Linked DNA regions of Tribolium castaneum. The protein of the gene in region 2 binds, or shares a complex with, the protein of the main gene of each other region. Links are inferred from orthologs where the notes say so. Each region holds a gene or a part of one and is shown on either strand. Other genes may lie near its edges.

Region 1 (3,145 bases), on a different chromosome or scaffold from region 2:
TTGAACCAACTTGATTGGTTCATTCGCGTTGTTAACTTTTAACAACAAATTAAAATTTAATGGCGCTTTCTATAAACCGGTCCTTCAATATACAAATATTTTTTGTTAAGCAACAAAGATCTCATCAGACCGAGGTTCAGACCAACAATAACACTAATGCGGAGAATACTCAAGACACGGTTGAAGATCTTTCCAGTACTTCCTCAACAAAAAATGCGTAATTTAAAGGATTTAACCGTTGTACACAGCAAAGAAATATTTTTATGAATACCCTCAAACACCTGTGAAGAATAAATAAAATAGTTATCCATGTTTTGAGATGTAATATCAAAATTAAACCTTGTTAATTACAAATCCTTTAATTTTGGAAACTAAAAAAAAAAACTATACATAAGGCACAGAGGAAAAATGATCTCAGTAGAGGTAAAAAATGTGTTAAAGATTCACTAATCTATACTGTACTGAAAATTCTGTATTTTATTATTTAATAGACAACCACAAACTTGTAATTTCTTTATTCAACCAGTAAAAAATTAACTACAAAAATACGAAGATTGTAACAGTTGTAATAAAATAATTAGTGAAAACAATGAATAATAGTCAACACGCTCACGTGTATGAAAACATAGCTATAGCCGGATCCTCCGTTTCGTACGTAATCAAAACATCCCTAAACTTATCCAAGAGCTGCAACAACTGACTGCGCCGTAAGTTCTCCAAATACATTATCTCCTCAATGTGGTGATTCCCATGAAAATAACCTTTGCGACACAATCGGGCAAACAATCGCAAATCCTCTGGATTATTAGTTGCCGGTATCTAAACAAACTTTTTTTGTAATAGTTACAACAGTAACTACACCTACTTTAAAAATATTCCCGCGTTCCTCATCAGGAAAATCCAACAGCAACTCCTCCTGATAATCCTGTTTTTCGTCCTCAACCGACGTAAAACTCACATTTTCGAGACTAAAATAACGCAAACTTTAAAAAAACACCCAAATTTCAAACACAACACGACTTTATACTGCGGTTGATCAAATCTGATTCGCTGCGAAGCTCGGGCGTTTCCGACACCGTCGACGTGCCGCTTTCGGACTCGGCTCGCGAGTGCTCGGACGTACTCGGGTGATACGAGCTCGAGGACAATACATTTCTAAGCACAAATAAATGACGCAACCAATAATGACGCCAACTTGATTTACAATACCCTATGTTTCTTTGTGAAACGATCCGTTCGTCCTTTTCCCTGGGCACTGCCAACCCGTGATCTGTTGGCATATACTGCACATAAGTGTGCAGTTGCAACAGTAGATGGTGTTGCAACATCCAGATAATAGTCTGTACTAAATGAGACTGTTGGGCCGGATGGCACAACGGGTTGCACTTCTGGCCCAAAGAGGTCGGTAGCGCGAAATCGCTAATCACACGAATTAAATTCGCTGTGGGGAAAGCCTCTGAGAATTTGTCAATCAGAGGTGAATTCAGATGAATGGGGGCGTCTGGAGCTATCACATATTTGTTAGTCAAGCAAATGGGGAATATAACTGTAGCTTTAGCCCAGTAAACTAAATGAGCTGTGAGCTCAAAAACCTGAAATTATTTATTTATTTATTTAATTGGCGATGTGGGACGCCGTTTACATGGTGGAGGGTCAAGTCGGCGTCGGCTGCTAAAGTTTGCAAGTTTTTTATTGGAGAATATTGCTTTAGCATTCGTTCTAAGGATGGGGAGCCATCCAGTCCAGTGAAATCGGCCATTTGCTGGATGGGGTGCAGTAATAATAAACTGTGGTAAGGGCGTAAAGCCTTCAAACACCTACATAGTAGAGAATAAGGCACTGGACACGCGGCTCGCTTTGAATTTATTTATTTATGTTGGCAACATTGAATAGTTTATTTGTGTCCTTAAGGTTTCCAGGTCTAGTGACTTATTTTAGAAAGAATACTATTAAACTGTAATAAAATTCATAACCTGAATATAGGCAATTTTTGTAAAAAAAAACAGAAACAGATCGCTTTTTGTTTTTCCTTTCCCCTCATTTAGTGAACATGGTTCGAAAGCAGTAAAACGCACTATTTGTTTTCTAAATATTGTCAATGCCCAAGTTATAAAAAATTAAAGCAGTATGGAATTATTAACTAAAATAAAATTTGTAACTTGGATATAAGCGATTTTTTTGTTTTTTGTTTTTTTTTGCACATCAGTTTTTGTTTTTGTTTATCTGTTTTCAAAAATGCCCAGCCACTTTTAACGTTACACAAATGTAACGAATATATCCAAAGCCTACGCCTAAAGCTAGAGGTGGCTGTGCATTTCTGACAACAAATAAACAAAAACCATATACATGAAACAGTAGGCAAGGAAAAATAAAAATTGACCTGTTACGGGAATTTTCACTAAAATCGGCTAAATCAAAGAATTTTATTCCAGTTAAAAATTCCATTCTGTATAAGCTTTTACCGAAGGTAACAACAATTTTGAAGTAAATGCTTAATGAAAAAAGCATTTGCTTTATTTTATTCACTTTGTTTTGAGAATATTCTCGACTTTAAAGCAAATAATTGCTAAAAAATGCTTTACTTTCAGTAAAAGCTTATATGTACTTCCATTTTTACTTATACATTTTAGAGCATTTACTTGCAAAATTTTAAGTAAAAGCACTATTTTGAATATATTTCTTTATTTTTTTTAACATATTTGAAGTAAAAGCGTAGCTCGTTTAAAAAGAATCAATTATTATAACAAATTATTACAGATTTTCTGGCATATACATCATTTATATTAAATTTGTGGAAAAATTAACCCGGCACATCCACCATAATAATAATAAAAATCCATTTTTATTTTTTTTAAGATATGCTTGTTGTACATTTTCCATTATTATTTGGTTTCTATGTGAAAATAACGTTCCAATTTAGAACATAGATTTTACAAAAAAAAATTTAATTCTACCAAATGTTCTAAGTGTCAATCAGACACAATACCCATCAATAAACTATTGATCATTGGGTGTAAAATGGGAACCCTTAATAAATTATTAAACCATGTCATTATATTCACATTGAAAGTTTAGAACATTTGTTTAGAACATTTTGTTCTAAATGTATACAAGTATCACGGAATAAATCAATTGTTCAAAAACT
Region 2 (3,968 bases):
TTTGTACAAACTGTCACTGAGTTGGTGGGTGACTTTTTGAGCCCTATAAAAATTCCCTTACCTAACAACGTCTGATCCTTCGACCACGTAATTAATTGAAAATCCAACGACCCCGCCCTCTGCTTCCTCCACTCAAACTCCAAAACCACATCCCTGTGCCCCACAAACGTATGCATGGGAGTGGACCTATTGGCCGTATTCCACAGCAACAAGCTATTTTCACCCCTTCGCAGCTGCGGCACCACCACCGTCACCAGCCCGTTCCCAAACGGCGTAAACCTCGCCCTCCACACGGGCGCATTCGTCGTCAGAACATACTCAGCCCTTCGTGGATTATTCATATCGAAAAATTTCACAGTATTGTCCTGACTGGACGTCGCCAATTGCGTCTCGACGTTGGGATTCCAGTCCAGGCCGTGGATTTTCGATAAATGCGCCGCCACGTACTGGACTGGAGCGGTTCCTTTGCGTTGATCCCAAATTTTGATATCGCCATCGTGTGCAGTGGCAAGCAGATGCGATGAGATTTTGTTCCATCGCACTTGAGAGGCTTCTGCTATTGCAGAGAGGGATAGTGAGGGACGGCGAGCGTCGCGCAAATCCCAGATGTGGATGAAAGTGTCCACGGAACAGGAGGCCAGAAGGCTGGGGTCGCTGCGGTGCCAGTTTAAGTCGGTTATGACGCGAGTGTGGGCACGGAGGGAGTGGGTCTGGATTAGCTCTTGCGAACGCCAAGTCAGGACCTCCAAGCGCTGATTGCTCTAAGAAAACGTACAACAACTTATCATATTCGTGGAGATTTGTAAAGTGCTCATTAAACTTCAATGTTTTCATGAAAAAAGTTGTTTTTTTCTTATAAAGTCACTCCAACCAGCAAAAATGGTTAATAAAATCTGTTTACAACACACTAGTGTATATTTCTCATTATTATTCGTTGTTATTATAACAGTCCGGTCAAAAAAAAACATTTTGATATATAAATAATTCGCAGAAAATTGGTACAACATAATAATAAATAAAATATCAAAAATTCACACCCATCCTACGTGCGCTAAAAATTTTATAATATCAAAATTGAAAAGTATTGTTTTTTTTTGCACTGTTCTCGTAAACGGTAAGTCTTATCATATAAATAGGTCAGACATTAAAGTTGTAAATCATGCAATTATCTACAAAAATTGTTCTTTTATTTTTTTCCTACAATTTTCAGATCTATTATGTGACGTTTTGACACTTTGAGAGAAGAAAAAAAATGTTTCTTTGCGAATTTAATTAATTAATTATTCGGTTGATGCAAAATAATAAGTTTTAATGTGCGATTAAATTTTGCTGTATAACAAAACAAGCATATAAATGCACAAAATAAAAAAAAAATGAGTTTTTCATCTCGGTTTATTAAGGTAAAAAATTTAAAAACGTGTTTTAGCTTTAATAGAATACGAAAAACCTTTGTTTGGCCAGATTTCGTCATTTTTTAGCTTATTCTTGACGAAATTTCGCCCAAAAACACGAAATCGAATGAAACAAAGTTACATCAGTTGTATTTTATTTTTGAGATTTTGAAGCGTTTTTTTGACTAATTCTTACAAAATAAATGAGTTTCGAGCTCAAAAACGCATTGAATTGACAGAAATTTGGGGATTTTTCAGCTGTAGCTAGAGTTTTAGCGAAATTTTTTGAGTGAAAAAACTCAATTTGGGTGTAATTTTGTTGATTTTCGGTTTGATTTGAATAAAATTTTGCAAATATTTCCATTTCTGGCTAAAAAAACTGTGCTAAAGACCAGATAACATCAGTTTCGATCTAATCGGTTATTTTTCATCCAATGTTAGGTAAATTTTTCGAAAAAAAACTTAAGTTTTCACCTCTACAAAGACTTGACGAAGGCTAAAATAAAACCCATTTTAATGTAAGTGGGTGATTTTTCAAAATAATTATGTTCTGGCCAAAAAAAATTTGATAATTTTGGATTTAAATAGGTGATTTTTCAGTCTCCTCTAGCGGAAATTCGGAAAAAAACTGACACTTTAGCTCTATAAAACGTGCTTAAATGCTCAAGAAAAGCAGAATAACATTACTTTTGACCAGAATTTATTTAAAAAATTTTGACTTTTGACCTATTTGGGTGATTTTACAGCGTATATTTAACAAAATCTTGCGTTTCTGGCTGGAAAATCTCCCAAAACAAAACAAAAACAAAAAGATAGCATTTTCTGGCTTTAAAAAAACCTACCGATATCACACAAAGCTCCCGGTTGTGATTAGTAGGGTTCCATTCAGCGGCTCCAACATCATATTTGCTCTGTCTTGGAAATTTTTGAACAACTTCCAGATCTTCATCTAAATTTCTTATTGCAATATACCTCCGCCTAATGGAATACAGATTAAAAATGCTACCAGGTCAAAGAATAATGTTACAATTGTTCGGGTTTATGTCATATTTAGACGTTAGAAAGAGGCATACCCTGCTAATAAAACATAAGTTCCTGAATTATCAACAGCCATAGCATTTGCTTGCAAATCTCTTCCTTCCAAAGCGATGTAATACTCATTGTTCCAGGTCGCAGCCATGGTGTGTCTCAATTTGTATGCTTATTTCAAAACTAATTTACACCCTAAAAGACACGCTCTGTTATTAGAAATGGACTTAGGCACTCTGCATACCACAAAATGGGTTAATCAGGCGATAGCGGGTCACATCTGATGTTTACATTTGATAGAAAATGCACTTTTCGAGGATTATTTATTTTTTGAGCTGTCATTTATTGGTGTCATGTGGCAATGTGAGGTTAAGTTCGCCTAACCCAACATTTTTTTTTCAATGAAAAAAATTAATTTTATAAGAAATGAATCTCCTCAAACAGATTCGTATGACTCGGAAGAACATCGGCGTGAGAAATAGCAGCTCACAGACAACCGCTAATTATTGCATGAATTTAGTAAAGTAAATCGTGTTGGGAACCACTTGCAGTTTACCAAGTTTTTTCAATTTTAGGAGTTACGATTACGAAAATTTTCTTAGTACACTTCTATTAAAAGGCAAATCGAGATCATGTGCATTCGCTGTTAGGAGTTTCAACGTTGAGGTTGCTCGTGTGGCTGAGCAAGTCTCAACCAAAGAAACGGGGTTAATGAGGATGCAGTTTTGGGAAGACGCTTTAGAGAAATGCTTTTCGGGGAATTGTGACAAAGTGCCCAGACATCCAGTCGCGATAGAACTATTCAACGTAATTAAAAAGAAATTCAGAAAAGAATTCTCTGTTCGCTTATAAGCGCCAATTTTTACGGCTGTTTTTTAGGCCATAAGCCGGAATAAATTATCTAAACGCCACCTAAAGAACCTCATTCTCTCCCGGAAAGAACATTTTAACTTAAACACCTTTCATAAATTGGAGGATATGGAAACGTACTCAGAACGATCGGTTTCAAGTGTGTATTACTTAATCCTGGAAGGGTGCGATATAAGAAATATTAATGCAGATCACGCAGCTTCTCACTTAGGAAAAGCGCAAGGAATTGTCCAAAATTTACGGTAAATGTCCCACTTATAATTTATTTATTAAATATCATCAGCGTTCTTAATTTTTTAGGTGTATACCACAGTGTAAAAATTTAAACTTTGTGCCACTGCCTCAATCAATTCTAGTCAAAAATAACGTGAGTCAAGAAGAATTGCTTCGGCACAAATCGTCGCAGCCTTTAAGTGACTGTGTTTACGAAGTAGCAACCAGGGCTCATCAGCATTTGATGAAAGCACGAAGTTTACAAGAAAAGGTTCCACCTGAAGGACGGAGCGTTTTGTTGCCAGCGGTGGCGACGTTTGCGTTCTTAAAAAGACTGGAAAATGTGAATTATGACATATTTCATCCACAGTTGAAGGCCAGACCGTGGAATTTGTTGTTCAAAATGTGGTTTAGCAATTTTAAAAATAAATATTAAAAGTGAAACGTTTTTTATTGACCCTTTTA
Region 3 (4,169 bases), on a different chromosome or scaffold from region 2:
TTAACTTGCAATAAAAAATTTGGTACAATGAAATTGTATGAAAATTTGAATGCTTGATGGCAGCATTATTTATAGGTTTATAGTTTTTTTTTATTAAATGATAAAAACGTCAACGTTTAAACGATTTGATTGTCATGGATACTCAATCGTAACCATGGAAATAAAGCAACAGTAGCTACGGAAACAAATCATTTTTAAGCAAATCTTTATTATCACAGTCATTTCCACAACAGGACGATATTGTGGTCTCTCTCCAGCTGGTCCTCGAGTTGTTGCGTGGCAACGCCAGTGGCGCAGCAAATCTCATCCAAATTAGCCGCCCCCGAGAGCGATTTTTGTAATTCAGAAGTATCACTCAACAAAATCGGATACTTATGAACCCGTCGAATCAGACCTTCCAACACTCCAATCTGTACCAATTTCCTTTCGTTTATTCGCAAATTAGCTGGATTAAATCTCAGGCACAAGTCCCGCATGGTCGTGCCCCTTGTCATGGCGGCAAACATGCGAAAAACGTCGCGAAAATTGGGTAACTGTCTTTGGGACACCGCCACATACTTCAAACATTTGTTCTAAAAACGAGTTATTCTTTCGCTGCTAGTTATAAATAATTAAGGCTAAAGGGGACACAGAGTTAAATCAAGTGTGCGATAAAGACAAGTATAATGAAAATGATTTTGCTGTTTTTGGCGATTTTTGTAATCCAATTTTAAATCAAAAAGTTGAATTCAGTTTATTAAAGAATTAGAATTTGTGCCAACGTAACACTTTTTTGAAAAAAAAATGGCATTTTTTGTTTAAAATTTTAATGAAATATATAATAATTATAAAATAGGTTAAAATTTAATTTGACTATTTTTGGTAAAAAAAATTGTAATGAAGATTTCTAATAATGGGAGATTGAAAAAGCTGAGCGGACTGCAAGTAATGTCATATCATATCGAAATAATTATGACAGCGATTTTAGGGGTGTTACTCTTTTTGATAGTGACTGTACACCTGCTTCCCATTCCTAGAAAAAGCTTAACAAAAAAACTGAAAGGGACTAAATTAATCGACGAAACAAATAAAAACTACTCGTATAATATCCAGAATTCAGCGTTTGCTAGTAAGTAATTTTTTACTCGTACGTACCTGAACTTCTTTTAATTTTTTTTAGAACGACAGTTTGGTTAGTTAATGTTTCCATATTTTTAATTTTATTAATACAACTATTAATATTTTCAATTCATTGATAATAATTAATATAAGAAAGTGTAGAAACAAAAATCGAGTGCATAGAGATACAGAAAAAACCTATACTTCTAGAAGTTTTGCATATCATCTGAAGGAAAATGAATAATAGGCAGACAAAACTAATCTTTACTAAATGACTTCTAGATATTGGAGTTAAATTTTCAGCAAATATTCGTCGTCCTACCTTGGTTTTACAAAATATTTTTTATTTTAAAAATTCATGAATTTTTTTTTAAATACGTCAAAAAATAAAAAACTAATACGTTAGCGCAAATTTAATTACGATTCTGTGATCAAAACTTTTTTCGATTTCGATAATAAAAAATTAATTCCGCGCCATCTGACGGCCTAGAAACACAGTGAAACGTGTTCCCCTTCAACCTTAATGAGTTGTTATTGTTATTACTTGTAAATTGACATCGTGAGCCAGAATATTTAACTGCGGCGTCGTGCAATAAACATTCCCGTATTGGAACAAAGGCACTAAAGCAACGACTCCGTAATAGACGAGGTTTTGGACACAAGCCTTGACCAAATTATTTTCGACATCGGAGAGGGCCGCGATTCGGGCCACGTGATTGAAGCCGTCAATGTAGGGGGCCACTTGTTGCGTGGTCAAGTCCCACTGCTGGTCCGGGAGGGGCTTGATGAAGACAGGGACCTGGTGGTCGGCCACGGGGGCCGGGTCGCTGCGAACGTGCACGACCTTGAGATGGGTGGCGGTGGGGCCCTCCGTGAGGGCGCACTCCCCCTTCGTGTTCAATTCCTCGATAACTTGCTTCAAAATTGGGGCGAGTTTCGTTGCTGCTTTACCGTCCGATAAAAAACTGCTTTCAATTTCCATTGCCATTAGGTAGTCTGATAGTTTTATAACGACGGGTTCGTAATGAACGGTTCGGACGTTACTGTCACACACTAGGCATAGATTGAAGTGGTAGGCGTTCCGGGGATATTTTTTGTCGTCAATGCGGACCGGGAACCCCAATATTTTATAATCCGATAGAGTACTAAAATTAAAATCAACAAGCAATTAATTCATCGATTTCGCTTCGGTTTTTTACACAGTGATTGTACTCTTCTGTAACTCCGCTTTCGTGATTATGTAAACGCTAATACTGTCGAATAGTTCCTTTGAAATGTACTGCTCTGGTTCCTGGAACACACTTGCAAAATCACGTAACATTTTTTTTTTAATGTTTACTTGACACGAAATGATAGGCCCGGCTGTTGGATGAAATTCACAGAAAAAAATGCACCGAATGGGGCCCTCCTGACTTGTGTGATCAAAGTTGTTCAGGACATAACCTGTATTTTCCATGTTTTGTACGTTTCGTAACATTTGACGTGAAATATAATTCCATAGATCTGAAAATTGCGGAATTAGCCCGGTAAAGCTTTTTTTGGTAAAAATTTATTTTAAAACCTGGAATAAATAAACATCCACATTGAACAAGAATCCAATTACAGGTTTCTGTACGGCGCCACTACTGAATTTAAATGGCGGTAAAAGTTAATTCGGATATTTATAGAGCATTGTACAAATTTTGTGGCTAATTGCATTGTCTATGTGGACTGACTATTGTATCATTGGTACAAAGAATACATGTTCACAAATAAAAGATAACGCAAAAAAAAAACAGAAATAAACTGTTTGTTCACTTACTTTTTCGAAAACTTATTACAAAAACATTGAAAAACCTACCTTTTGCAACAATTTATGGTTAAATTAAGGAGGGCTATAACTTAGGAAACGAAACGAAATACAAAATCGCTGGATTTTTTGAACCCAAAGAAATAGTACGGTAGAAAAAAAATGAGGGCGCTTTGAGCGTTATACCTCTCGGCGCCAAATTGTTTAAAATTAATTTAAATCCAATTCATCATTTCCTTGGAAAAAAATGCAGAAATGTTGAGCTTCGCACTTTTAACAGACTGAAAAAAACTGCCAACTCAAATTCTTATAAGAATAATGACAAAAAAATACTTAACATAAAAAAATTTGCGCTTCGCTACATATTTTTCAAGACGCTGCAAATACGGTTAATGAGACAAGCAAAATGTTAGGAAGAAATTTGTAAAAAAATATTTTTTGTAAATAATACGAGTGCAAAAACACAAGCTTAAAATCCGAGGACTGTTGTTATGTAACGAGCGTATGCGGCATAAAATATTACCAACAAAAAAATATATTTTACGACAAAACATTTGCATGTTGTTTATGTCTTACTGTTAAGAATTTAATGCTTTATCTGTATATTTTTTCTTTGTTTGCTATGTTAAACATTATACGACCATTTTTTAAATTAATATTTCATTGCAGTACTTAATCTCAATTACGGTTTTGTAGATTTTCAGAAGTATTATACAATACAATTTTTTCAGTGTAATTGCTTTAGTAACACTTTGTAACCAAAAATTAAATCTTTTTCACGTTTTGTCCATTTTCAAATTCCAACAAATTACAATTTTAATCACGAATAACCGCATGAACAAAGCTAAAGCGCATACTAAAGTCGGAATTTAAATAAGGAATTAAGAAAATTTCGTTATTGTTTTCGAATAGTATGAAATGTCATCACCAGGGGGTGTCTAGTTAATCTAATTCCCAAATATTTTTTAAACACAATAGTTTTTCCACTTGTAAAATAATCAAACACTTTACAACGTCCTGCAAGGCTATTTCAAAAAACAATCCTTTTTTCCCGACAAATTTTTAATTTCAGAAGTTGCTCAAATTGTTACACCTACAGGTTGGTAGCACCGTCACTCAGACATTTCCCGCGTTTCGTTCAATGACCATTTATTGTTTTTGTTTACCAAATTACAAAATAAAATGACCCGATTTATTAAAAAAACGTGCAAGTGTGTGTGATATTTATCGTCGCAGTTAAGGTAAGTCCACAGTTCCCCCCATTTAGCTCACTACTCTCACA
Region 4 (4,014 bases), on a different chromosome or scaffold from region 2:
TTTTGCAAAGACCCCAAAAGATTGTACCTAAGGAAATAAACAAAAATTTCGAATTTTATGCACGATTGGGAATGTACTTTGTGGGGCACCAGGCAATTTTGATCACAGGCTTGTTCTGGTGCAGCGTCAGGATGGGTTTTTCGAAATTTCTCGTATCCCAAACGTAAATATTATTCTCGAAAAATGACGCCAAATGCCGGTCGTCGTTCGGGTCCATGCAAACGCCAAAAACGGCCTTGGTTAGCGTAGAATTTGTGATTTTGTTAGGATCTACAAGTAACTATTGAATAATCTTCGACCACAGCGTGAGTCAAAATAAAAGTGTTCTTATTTAGACTCACGTAGTTTTTTTCTTTTAGTTTTCTTCCTTTTTTTCACAATTTCTTAAATGATTTTCCCATTTATTTTACTACGTTGTGGTAATGGTTTACAATTGGTGTAATAAGCAACGAAGTACGTGGTTTAATAATCAATTTGATGAATAAATGATTCAATGGCAAATAATTTGGGACAACAATTCAATGTTTTGCCAAACACGAAAATTTATTCAACATACAGAAGAACTCAAAACACTGCCAAAAGAAGTGCTGAGCATCGACAAAAAAAACTATGCGATGTTCAAAAAGACCCAGGTTTCATTGTCTAAAGTCAACAGTTTTGTAGAATTTTCATTATTCAGTTAAAATAATTTTATTCGTCCCCGCGAGAAGAAATATACCTTATACCTTTGAAGTTCGTTTTATTATGCAGTCGAATGTAACAGAAGTATATGTGAAAGAAAGAAAAAAATTGAACATAGGAGTAATATTGTTGTGTGATGTTCAGTAAAATAAAAACCTCAGTGTCCGGAAAATTGTCGTTTTAAATCTCATGTTAATATGGTCCTAAAAAATCATATTCTGCTCTTAAGTTATTATACGCGAACTATTTAATTTTGAATTTCAAATTACGTAAAAAGTTAACAGAAACCTTAGTTATGTCATTTATGAAATATTGCTTAATCTTATACTATCCCTGCTTAGATAATATCACAAAGTACAAATTACAGAAAATCCAAAATAGTTGTTGTAGGTTCATTTTTGGTTTGAACAAATACGATCATGTTTTGTCTAAAATACTCGACCTACGTTGGTTGAAAGTTGAAAATATGTATCGACACCAATTGGGTACACTTATGTTTAAACTTATGACAACTTCGTCTCCATTCTACCTTAGAAAAAATTTAGATTTAGAAATAGCATTCACAATGTCAACATTCATCATAATACACAAATCTCTATGCCTCAGTTTAGTTCATCCATCTTTCAACGCTCGCTAACTTATAATGGTGTTAAAGTTTTTAACTCCACTGTACTCTTTCAGTTGAATGTTTCGGTGAATAAATTTCGTACACTCTACAAAGATTTCTTGCTCTCCATGGTTAATTATGGTGTTCATCATCGCATGCTACGTTTCCATTTCCATATTTACTCTATTGCTTCTTTTTTAGTTTTAAGTTTTCTATTTGTACCTTTCTGAAGTTATTTATATTACTTGTTTTATTTTTCTTATTGTTTGATATTTTTTTATATATCTTTATAATTCTTTTTTTGGGGAGTTGAGGTGAATAGTCTTTGACTAGACTTCGCCCCCATTTTTCTTTAATAAAGGTCTGTTATTATTATTATTATTATTATTATTATTATTATGTTGAACATAAATATGGACACATACTTGCAAGATTGTAAGAAATATCCACATAATATAATGTATGTTACGCTTTATTGTTCCAAATATATTTATTTTTAATTAGATTAACGAAAAAATATGGCCTTTGTTTACATAAAAAGAATTCATCCAAATCGACTAAATTAACTGGAAAAGAAAGGGAATATCAATTAACACATGATTTTGATATTTCACAAATGGAAAGACATTTAAGAAATTGTGAGACACAATAATTGAGAAAGAAAAAGACTAAGAATACCTCTGATGTCGACAAACTTGATATTTTTCAAGTTCATCCCGACAGCAATCACCTTGCTGTTGCTGCTGAACCAGGCCATGCTGTGGGCGGTTTCGGAAACCCCAAATTCGGCTATGGGTTTTGCGAGCTCCACCCCTGGGGCCATGGTGTTAACCGCCATCCTTCCCGAATTGCTTTCGTTGTTTTGGGACGACTTCATAATGTCCCAAATGAGAACGGAATTGTCCGCTCTGTACTTGTCTAACCCGGCAGCCACCCAACTAGTCTCAATTGTGTTCCAGCACACGGCATTACACTGCCTTGCATGTCTCGGCACCAGTTCTTTCCCAGTCAACCCCAAGGCGTCATACTCCGTGGGGCCGAATGTCGACAGTGATATTCGTCCATTTGATAAACCCACAGCTAGCAACAAATCGGCATCGGATTTTGGGTAAACATCCAGGCATTTAACGTAGTGGTGGTTGGTGTTTGTCGCCAGTAAATTGGCGGAAGTCGTGCTTGATAGCTTAATATCTGCAAGTTTTTCGTAAGATTGGGATCATGGCCATGAGTTAATACTTTGCAAAACGTTATCGCGGTCTTGGTGCACCTCGTACAAGCAAATTTCGGAACCCCACGTGATAAATTTGTTGGTGATGGGGGTCCACTGGATTTCCAGTTTCGAGGACATTTTATGGAAGCTAAAACGGTAATTAAATACTTAGAATAAGTAAAAAGGCAACGGGTTAACAATTGGCGAATTTGCGATGTATTTTGGCTTTGAGGTTACGGTCATGTTTTTGTTTTCTTTTGGTTCTTCGCGTTGGTGCCACTGCCATTCCACGGCGCGAGCGAAAACTTTGAATCAAATCTACCTTTAAAATCCTTTTTTTTTAAAGAGTAATTTTGAGAAACAGGGCAAATTCCTTAATTTTTTACTTTAAAAAGGGTTACATTTGATAAAAACACGATGTGTGTTAAAGGTGCCCTCCTAGTTGTCTGTTCTACTTCTGATTTCTTTCTTTAATTAATAAAATTGGGGTTGGGGAGAAATAAACTGTGATTTTTATAAAAAATTAATAAAACGATTGTATTTTGAGTCGTTTAAATTGTTATCGGCAACGTACACCAACAAGTGCACTCATAAAATGAATATTACTTGAATTTTTAATAATACCGAACATTTGTACTTTTATATTTTTGTTGTCTTCATACTTACATGCTGAACATTTTCAGTTTGTCGACTTCAACAGTAGAAGAAACCAACAACTAAGCCAATTTCCATGTTCTTACAATAAATCACTATTTATGTAAGAGATAATTGGACAAACAAATGGGCGATAAGAAACAATAAGATTTCCATTAATCACCAAAAAATTGAAATTGGGAGAATCATTTTTTATTTCTGGGCATAAACAACGAAACAATCACACGTTCTAAAGCTTTATTAATTTTTGTTATACATTCATCACTTCGTAATCAACAGCTAACATCTCTTGATTTCAGATCTATTATTTAACAACTTAAAATCAGATCACAAAAACTGTATTTTCAAACAAACAACATCTTAAAATATAATATACAACTTTAAGTAAATAACATTACAATCTCTATTAATCAAATATTAAAAATGACTCATTGGCTTGGCTTTTATTTATCAAAACGGAGTTTTGGTGGTCATAATCGGTGAAGGCACCAAATTAATCGAAATTTTTTTAACGTGCGTGAATGCATTTATTTCTAATGAGTGAATTAAGTTGAAAAAGTAAATTATTTCCTTGATGCTAGAAGTACCCTAAATTTACTTTTCGTTTAATCGTTTGCTAATCGGCGACTAATCGACGATTGTCAAACTTGTTGGCTAAATAAACTACAAACTGAGTGTTTTATGGATACGTCTTGTGTATGTGCGTTTGTGTTGATTAATTGTTGCAGTTTATTAAAAATCGTTAACTCTAAGTACAGTTTTAACTAAGTACTATTTTTAATTGGGTAAAAAACACCGCTTCCAAAATGAGTTGTATAAATAAAATTTGTACACATGAGTATTTACCGTTCCTTGAAATATC
Region 5 (3,252 bases), on a different chromosome or scaffold from region 2:
AATTACGGAGAAAACCAATCACTTTTGAATTTTTGATTCATTGAAAAATTATAGTTTTGGATATGATTGGTCCATTTAAGGTCGGCCATTAAAATAATGTGGGAAACCAATCACTTTCAATTTTCGGACTCATTCCATAATTTATTAATGGGAATTGTTCAATGGTTTATTGTTCTTAGTTTAAATTTAAAAAAGGCAGTCAATAAATATATCTACTTTGTTTTAAATGGTCTCAAAAAAAAATTAAAAAGCAAGATAAAATAATGTGACTATTTTATATTTGAAAACTATTTTCTTAACAAAAAATTATTTCAGAATGTAATCTTTCGGATAATCGATAAGTTTTGGAAATGATTTAACTTCTTCTTCAGTATAATGGTCTAGTCTCTTTGGCATTGGTCTAAGTTGTCTTATTTGATTAGAAACGTTTTTCATCAAATCTGCCGGTACATTTTCATCAGCAAAAAGATGCAGCCTCTCCATTGTGTGCCGTCTCTGCAAATTGCCGGCCATGCTTTTATAAACTGCTTTTTTGAGAATCTAAAAAAATGTTTACACTACTTGGTTCATAAGAGGAATGTTAATTAACTAATTTCGGGTCCTTGCTGTGTAATTCCCAAGCTAGGGTCCAAGACGCACCCCCAGGATAACCCGTGTGGTGAAAATAAGCCCGTTTCTTCCACTCTTCTTCAGGCATCGCGATCTCATTAGTGTTTATAACAATTACATGGTCACCACAATCATCTGAAACTGATATTGAGCAAAGAAACAACACCCGTTTGCCTTAATTACTCATTGGGTGGTAAATTGGTTTATATAAGCCCATTAAATACTTTTTTATCAGTTGCGCGGACTGAAATGGGTCCTGCCAAGCGGCATCGTACACATGCCATATCCTTGCAAAGGTGGCCCATTGCTACAATCCATAGACAATTTTATGCAATTTTACGACCAACTGTATTTACCTGAACCCTTTTTACCACAGACATGCTTGTTATTATTGTTACTTTTTTGTGACACTTTTTAGTGAGGTTGAGTTTTCATAACCTTACATTTGTTATGTAAGATCCAGCGTGCGGTCTAATAATCACGAAGCCGAAACAAAAAATTGTATTTTTAGTTGTTAAAACTTGATTGTTTTTGATAATTTTGCAAGTTCTAGACCTGTAAAAACTAGCTAAATAATTTCTGAGTAAAAAAGCTTGTGAAAATGATTATTTTTCACAATTTCGATAACTTGGAGATTCTACCGCAAAAACTCAGCGTTCTGCGCAAGTACTGACGCTTTGAACTTTAGGGGTTATGTTTAGATCAGTTTTGTTGATTATTCGTGAAATAAAAAATGTTTGAGGCCCAGGAAATTAATGCCGAACACAAGGACCTAATCCACGATGTTGCGTACGATTTTTACGGCCAAAGAATGGCCACTTGTTCCAGCGATCAATACGTTAAGGTTAGTTAGCAGTTGCGTTTTCAACTTATAAGGAAAAAAAGTAGGTTTGGGACCAAAACAGCGACGGCAAATGGACTTTAACATCAAGCTGGAAGGCCCACAGCGGCTCCGTTTGGAAAGTGACTTGGGCCCACCCCGAATTTGGCCAGGTTCTGGCCACTTGTTCCTTTGACCGAACTGCCGCAGTTTGGGAGGAAATTGGTACTTTCAGTAGTTTTTATCGAGTGTGTATTTAATGTGGGTTTAAGTTGGTGAGACTCCCGGGCCTGGGGAAAGAGGGACGAGGCATTGGGTCCGTCGGACAAATCTGGTCGATTCGAGGACTTCCGTTACTGATGTGAAATTCGGGCCACGGACGCAGGGTTTGCAGCTGGCGACCTGTTCAGCCGAGGGCATTATTCGGATTTATGAGGCGCCCGATGTTTTGAATTTGAGTCAATGGACTTTGCAGTTTGAAATCCAGTGCAAATTGCCGTGCAGTTGCCTAAGTTGGAATCCTAGTTTATCAAAGTATTTTTTGCAGAATTGTTAGACGGTTTGTAAATGGTGTTTTTAGGATGCATCCTCTGATGTTGGCGGTTGGAAGTGACGATCCAAATCCAGCCAATGGAGTCAAAGTTTTTATTTATGTTTACAGTGAGAGTTGCCGGAAGTGGACGAAAATGGATGCCATAACAAACATTACAGACCCCGTCTACGATCTCTCGTTTTCTCCTAATTTAGGCCGCAGTTTTCATGTTTTAGCCATTGCCACCAAAGATGTAAAAATCGTTAATTTACCTCACGTTTAGTAAGTTTTACATTTTTCGATTATTGTTTTTTCTAATCATTTTTTTGTAGCGACAACCCGAATTCGCAGAATGTTATTACAAAATTAGATGCACAAATTGTTGCCCAATTTGACGATCATGAATCCACCGTCTGGAGAGTCTGTTGGAATGTTACAGGAACTATTTTGGCTTCAAGTGGAGACGATGGTTGTGTCAGAATGTTTAAAAGTATGAACTAAATTGTAAGCTTATTTATCGTAAGAATAATTTTTTTTGCAGTGAATTACATTAACTCGTGGAAGCCAATAGCAGTATTAAGAGGTGATGGGTCACAAGTTTCTAATGAAGGTCAAAGATCATCAGTTTCTTCAACAGTAGGGCCGCAAATCCAAAGTGCGTCACAGACTGCTAGATATATTAAACTCGGTGCCATTTCTCAACCAAGAGACGTCCCTTGGCATTAATTTTTAAATCCGTAAAATGAGAACAAGATGTATTTCACAAAATACTGAATAAACTTTTATTTTAATATTTGTTTTTTATGTTTACCTGTTTCACAACTAATAATAAAAAGTAAAATACACAAAGTGATCAAGAATCAAATACTTCCAATAAGATTTTAAATTAATTAAATTGAATTTAAACTTCAAAAATCTCCTACGAACATTTTTTGAACAAACAAAACCTTGGTAAGATGATCGATTCATTGTAGTAAAAATACTTAAAAAATCAAAACCAAATAATAATTTTGCGGTTTTGTCCTAAAGTTATTGATCATTCTTTTAAATTTTGTATTTTTGGCTCTCGAGGAGGGATAATAAAAAAAACACCAATAAATAACATGAGCCCTGTTTTTAAAACTACAGTATTTACCTATCCCGTGATCCCCTTTGCGCTTTTGAATATGCTGGGGACACTTTCCCCCGACTTTTCGCCTTTTTCGTTGGATTTTGTAGAAATAACATCAATTAGAAATGTCAAATTGTAAAAGTGCGCGCGCATGCGCTTTGATTTTCAACATGTCATTTC
Region 6 (2,966 bases), on a different chromosome or scaffold from region 2:
AACCAAAAGTGAGGTTATTACACGAGACCACCAACCTAACAAATCTAAAATTCTCCAGAATCTGTGACAACGTGGTCGGCCATAACCTTTCTTTTTCCAACCATCTTGGAAGCTTGTTCGTGGAGTTAATTTCCCAATTTTCAAGACATGGCCAAGTCAAAGAACCACACCAATCACAACCAAAGTAAGTTTAGTGTCCGTTTTTTGTAATTTTGCAAAATTTTCGAGTTTTATAGACCGTAAGGCCCACCGTAACGGTATTAAAAAACCGAAGCAGTTCCGTCACGAATCAACCCTTGGTGTGAGTAAAAATGCAAAAAATACTCGTTTGGTGTGAATTTATAAGTGTCTTTCAGATGGACTCTAAGTTTTTGAAGAACCAGAGGTTCTCAAAGAGGCACAACTTGAGCACCGCCAAACAACGCCAACGTGCGCAGGAACGCAAGGCCAAAGCCAAGAAATAATTTAAGTTTTTTGTAATATGTTTACTCAATAAACAGTTCCACTTAAATTACGTTTTATTTAAAAAATACACCTATTGGTTATTGATCTGTCCCTGGCCCTTAACCACATCACTGACGCACTGCCAATTCCCTTGCAAGTTTTGCTTCCAAAGCGTGATTTTGTTATCACCCCCTGACACGGCCAGAATATTCCCGTTCAGGGACCAACTGACATTCCAGACAACATCGTCAAAAGTCTGGAGGACCGTTGAGTTCCAGTTGTTGCCATCGTCACTCGTCCAGATGATGACCCTCCTGTCTTGCGAGCAGCTCGCGATGGTGTGCTGGTGCAGCCCCACCGAGGGGGCCCACGCCACGTCCCGCACCCAGTCCGAGTGCACCTCCAACTTGTTCTCCTCCACCCACCGGTCCTCCTCCTCCCGCCACACTTTGACCAGATTATCGCAGCCCCCGGACACCAGCCGCTTGACCAGCTTGGCCGCGTCCCGGAACTCCCCCGACGTGGGGGTGATGGCGGGGGCCCAGCTCACGGCATTGCAGCCGATGGCGTGGGCGTTTTGGATCTTCTTCGCGTCCCAGTTGTGCGTCTCTGAGATGTAGCTCAGGATGGAGATCGAGCCGTCGCTGCTGCCGCAGGCCAGCACGAGCCCGTACTCAGGCGGGGCGAACTGCACCGAGTTCACGCTGGAATCGTGGTTGGCGTACTCGTAGTACTTGGTGAACTTCCCGTTCTGCTCCTTCCAGATTATGACCTTGCGGTCGTACGAGCAGGAGGCGAGGAGGTTCCCGAACTTGGGGTGGCTCCAGGCGATCTGCCACACGGGCCCGAAGTGGCCCTTGAGGTCGTCGATCAGGGCTGTGCCCCCGTTCTTGATGTCGTACACTTTGACGCTGTTGTCCGACGAGCACGTGGCCAGGCGCAGCCCGTAGTAGTCCACTTCGGCGTCGTGCACCATGTCCTCGTGCCCCGTGTCGATAGAATTCAAAATTGAGACCATTTTCCCAGTTTAAAACTACCAGAAATTGGAACAGACGTGGCTTGACATTTGACACACGGTTACCAACCGACTCACGTCGCCTCTAATTCGTTCAGTTTTGGCCGATTTGGGGCCCAAATTATCAATCAGATACAAATTCTGGGTTAAAGAGTGGCGACTCGGCCAAAACTACGTGATAAATAGCCCAAAGAAAAAGGTTATGTTGATGTTTGAAAAAACCTGACCCGAAATTCCCCTAGTGTCAAAATGAGCGCGAAAGTCATGTTGTTTTGTCAACAGGTTAGTCTGCAATAATGGATGAAATTAACGAAAAGTTCCGGCCCCAGCGGGACCCCAAGTTGGCAAAAAAGCCCACGGACTTCTCACGGTACGTGCCAGGGACATTCACCCGTTTTTAAGTATTTTGCCTTAGAGAGGAAACCTCGGAGGTGAGACTCCGCCAAGTGATTGAAAATGACGCGATTGACGCAAAATACGGCTTCGAGCGGGTGCGGGATAACTTAGAAAGGACCGGATTTTTGTTAAACATGCACGCGGTAACGTGGTTATGGACCAGGGGCTGGCTTGATAATGTCTGAGTAGAGTGAGATTTTAGATGAGGATAAGAGGTTGGTGGCGGCTGTTGACTTCTATTTCATGGAAGAGGACGGCGCCCGCTTTAAAGTGTCGTACTGTTACATGCCTTATTTTTACATTCTTACGAAAATTGAGCTCATTCAAGAAGTGAGCCAGTTCCTTACGAAAAAATTCTCGGGGACAATTGGCAAAATTGAAGTTGTCACAAAGGAGGATTTGGATTTGGTAGAGCGAGCAATTGTTGTTGCTAAACTTATGAGCGATTTTTCAGCCAAATCATTTGATTGGTTTGCAACAGAAGTACATAAAATTGTCGTTTTTCAACCAAACTGATTTAATTAAAGTCAGGAAGGAGATACTCAAAGTTGTGAAAAAGAACAAAGAGAGGGAAAGCTCAAACACCTATTACACCGAAATGTTGACGGACATTTTAGCAGACAAGGCGGCCCAAACCACCAAGACTAACACCGATCAGATGGAAAATATTCTCGATATTCGGTAAAGGACCCAAGTAACAATTTAAATGCTGATTAGATCTAGTATTACGGTTTTGTAAAAGTTTCATGAAGGTGGATAAGTGTAGATAAGTTGCTTGTCTACAGCCAAATACTCCCACAGATCGCAAATTTCTAATAGATGTTCTTTAGAATGCTTTAAAACTATTGAGAGTTAATATTCTTATAAATAATTTTAAATAGAAGATACAGTTTTATACATAGAGCAGCTATATTTTACTGCTGTTTCAGTTGAAATAAAAAAATATGCACTTTTTAAAGCTTAAAGAAATGGTGATAATTAAAAAAAATTAAAAGTTTTTATTTGGGCTCCCAAAACAAGTAACAAATTTTTTGTAGCGAGTATGACGTCCCCTACCACGTGCGTGTCTCAATCGACTTGAAAATCTTCTGCGGTTTATGGTACACGGTCA

Evidence for each region.
Region 1: Wdr59 (region 2) and Nprl3 share a complex: the UniProt entries of both Drosophila melanogaster proteins name them as parts of the GATOR complex. The link is inferred for Tribolium castaneum from reciprocal best matches to the Drosophila melanogaster genes Wdr59 and Nprl3.
Region 3: Wdr59 (region 2) and Nprl2 share a complex: the UniProt entries of both Drosophila melanogaster proteins name them as parts of the GATOR complex. The link is inferred for Tribolium castaneum from reciprocal best matches to the Drosophila melanogaster genes Wdr59 and Nprl2.
Region 4: Wdr59 (region 2) and mio share a complex: the UniProt entries of both Drosophila melanogaster proteins name them as parts of the GATOR complex. The link is inferred for Tribolium castaneum from reciprocal best matches to the Drosophila melanogaster genes Wdr59 and mio.
Region 5: Wdr59 (region 2) and Nup44A share a complex: the UniProt entries of both Drosophila melanogaster proteins name them as parts of the GATOR complex. The link is inferred for Tribolium castaneum from reciprocal best matches to the Drosophila melanogaster genes Wdr59 and Nup44A.
Region 6: Wdr59 (region 2) and Sec13 share a complex: the UniProt entries of both Drosophila melanogaster proteins name them as parts of the GATOR complex. The link is inferred for Tribolium castaneum from reciprocal best matches to the Drosophila melanogaster genes Wdr59 and Sec13.

Annotation. Positions count from the first base shown.
Region 1 is NC_087395.1:17,468,561-17,471,705, forward strand, and holds the end of Nprl3 (GATOR complex protein NPRL3), read right to left. Parts: intron 1,818-3,145; coding exon 1,643-1,817; intron 1,593-1,642; coding exon 1,210-1,592; intron 1,156-1,209; coding exon 1,021-1,155; intron 969-1,020; coding exon 866-968; intron 820-865; coding exon 610-819; 3' UTR 501-609; downstream 1-500. UniProt on the Drosophila melanogaster protein: An essential component of the GATOR subcomplex GATOR1 which functions as an inhibitor of the amino acid-sensing branch of the TORC1 signaling pathway.
Region 2 is NC_087398.1:3,160,692-3,164,659, forward strand, and holds the start of Wdr59 (GATOR2 complex protein WDR59), read right to left. Parts: upstream 2,801-3,968; 5' UTR 2,665-2,800; intron 2,616-2,664; 5' UTR 2,572-2,615; coding exon 2,465-2,571; intron 2,370-2,464; coding exon 2,234-2,369; intron 762-2,233; coding exon 62-761; intron 1-61. Other genes in the region: sicily (NADH dehydrogenase (ubiquinone) complex I, assembly factor 6), read left to right, coding at 2,847-2,944, 2,996-3,227, 3,300-3,532, 3,591-3,939. UniProt on the Drosophila melanogaster protein: A component of the GATOR complex, which functions as a regulator of the amino acid-sensing branch of the mTORC1 signaling pathway.
Region 3 is NC_087399.1:8,014,952-8,019,120, reverse strand, and holds Nprl2 (GATOR1 complex protein NPRL2), read right to left. Parts: upstream 2,801-4,169; 5' UTR 2,660-2,800; intron 2,602-2,659; 5' UTR 2,576-2,601; coding exon 2,438-2,575; intron 2,390-2,437; coding exon 2,298-2,389; intron 2,244-2,297; coding exon 1,643-2,243; intron 573-1,642; coding exon 219-572; 3' UTR 192-218; downstream 1-191. UniProt on the Drosophila melanogaster protein: An essential component of the GATOR subcomplex GATOR1 which functions as an inhibitor of the amino acid-sensing branch of the TORC1 signaling pathway.
Region 4 is NC_087395.1:14,780,426-14,784,439, forward strand, and holds the start of mio (GATOR2 complex protein MIOS-B), read right to left. Parts: upstream 2,801-4,014; 5' UTR 2,697-2,800; intron 2,647-2,696; 5' UTR 2,637-2,646; coding exon 2,525-2,636; intron 2,480-2,524; coding exon 1,967-2,479; intron 271-1,966; coding exon 78-270; intron 28-77; coding exon 1-27. UniProt on the Drosophila melanogaster protein: An essential component of the GATOR subcomplex GATOR2 which functions as an activator of the amino acid-sensing branch of the mTORC1 signaling pathway.
Region 5 is NC_087396.1:12,237,278-12,240,529, forward strand, and holds Nup44A (nucleoporin SEH1), read left to right. Parts: upstream 1-1,197; 5' UTR 1,198-1,342; coding exon 1,343-1,453; intron 1,454-1,497; coding exon 1,498-1,654; intron 1,655-1,701; coding exon 1,702-1,963; intron 1,964-2,009; coding exon 2,010-2,243; intron 2,244-2,293; coding exon 2,294-2,451; intron 2,452-2,502; coding exon 2,503-2,687; 3' UTR 2,688-2,752; downstream 2,753-3,252. Other genes in the region: mRpL13 (large ribosomal subunit protein uL13m), read right to left, coding at 307-540, 590-744, 793-916, 966-989. UniProt on the Drosophila melanogaster protein: Probable component of the nuclear pore complex (NPC). Involved in maintaining the localization of another nucleoporin Mgtor to the nuclear envelope of early meiotic female germline cells.
Region 6 is NC_087396.1:21,704,731-21,707,696, reverse strand, and holds Sec13 (protein SEC13 homolog), read right to left. Parts: upstream 1,526-2,966; 5' UTR 1,463-1,525; coding exon 536-1,462; 3' UTR 501-535; downstream 1-500. Other genes in the region: RpL29 (large ribosomal subunit protein eL29), read left to right, coding at 148-184, 237-301, 357-464; PolE1 (DNA polymerase epsilon catalytic subunit 1), read left to right, coding at 1,756-1,829, 1,875-1,998, 2,045-2,263, 2,310-2,536, 2,893-2,966. UniProt on the Drosophila melanogaster protein: Functions as a component of the nuclear pore complex (NPC) and the COPII coat. At the endoplasmic reticulum, SEC13 is involved in the biogenesis of COPII-coated vesicles.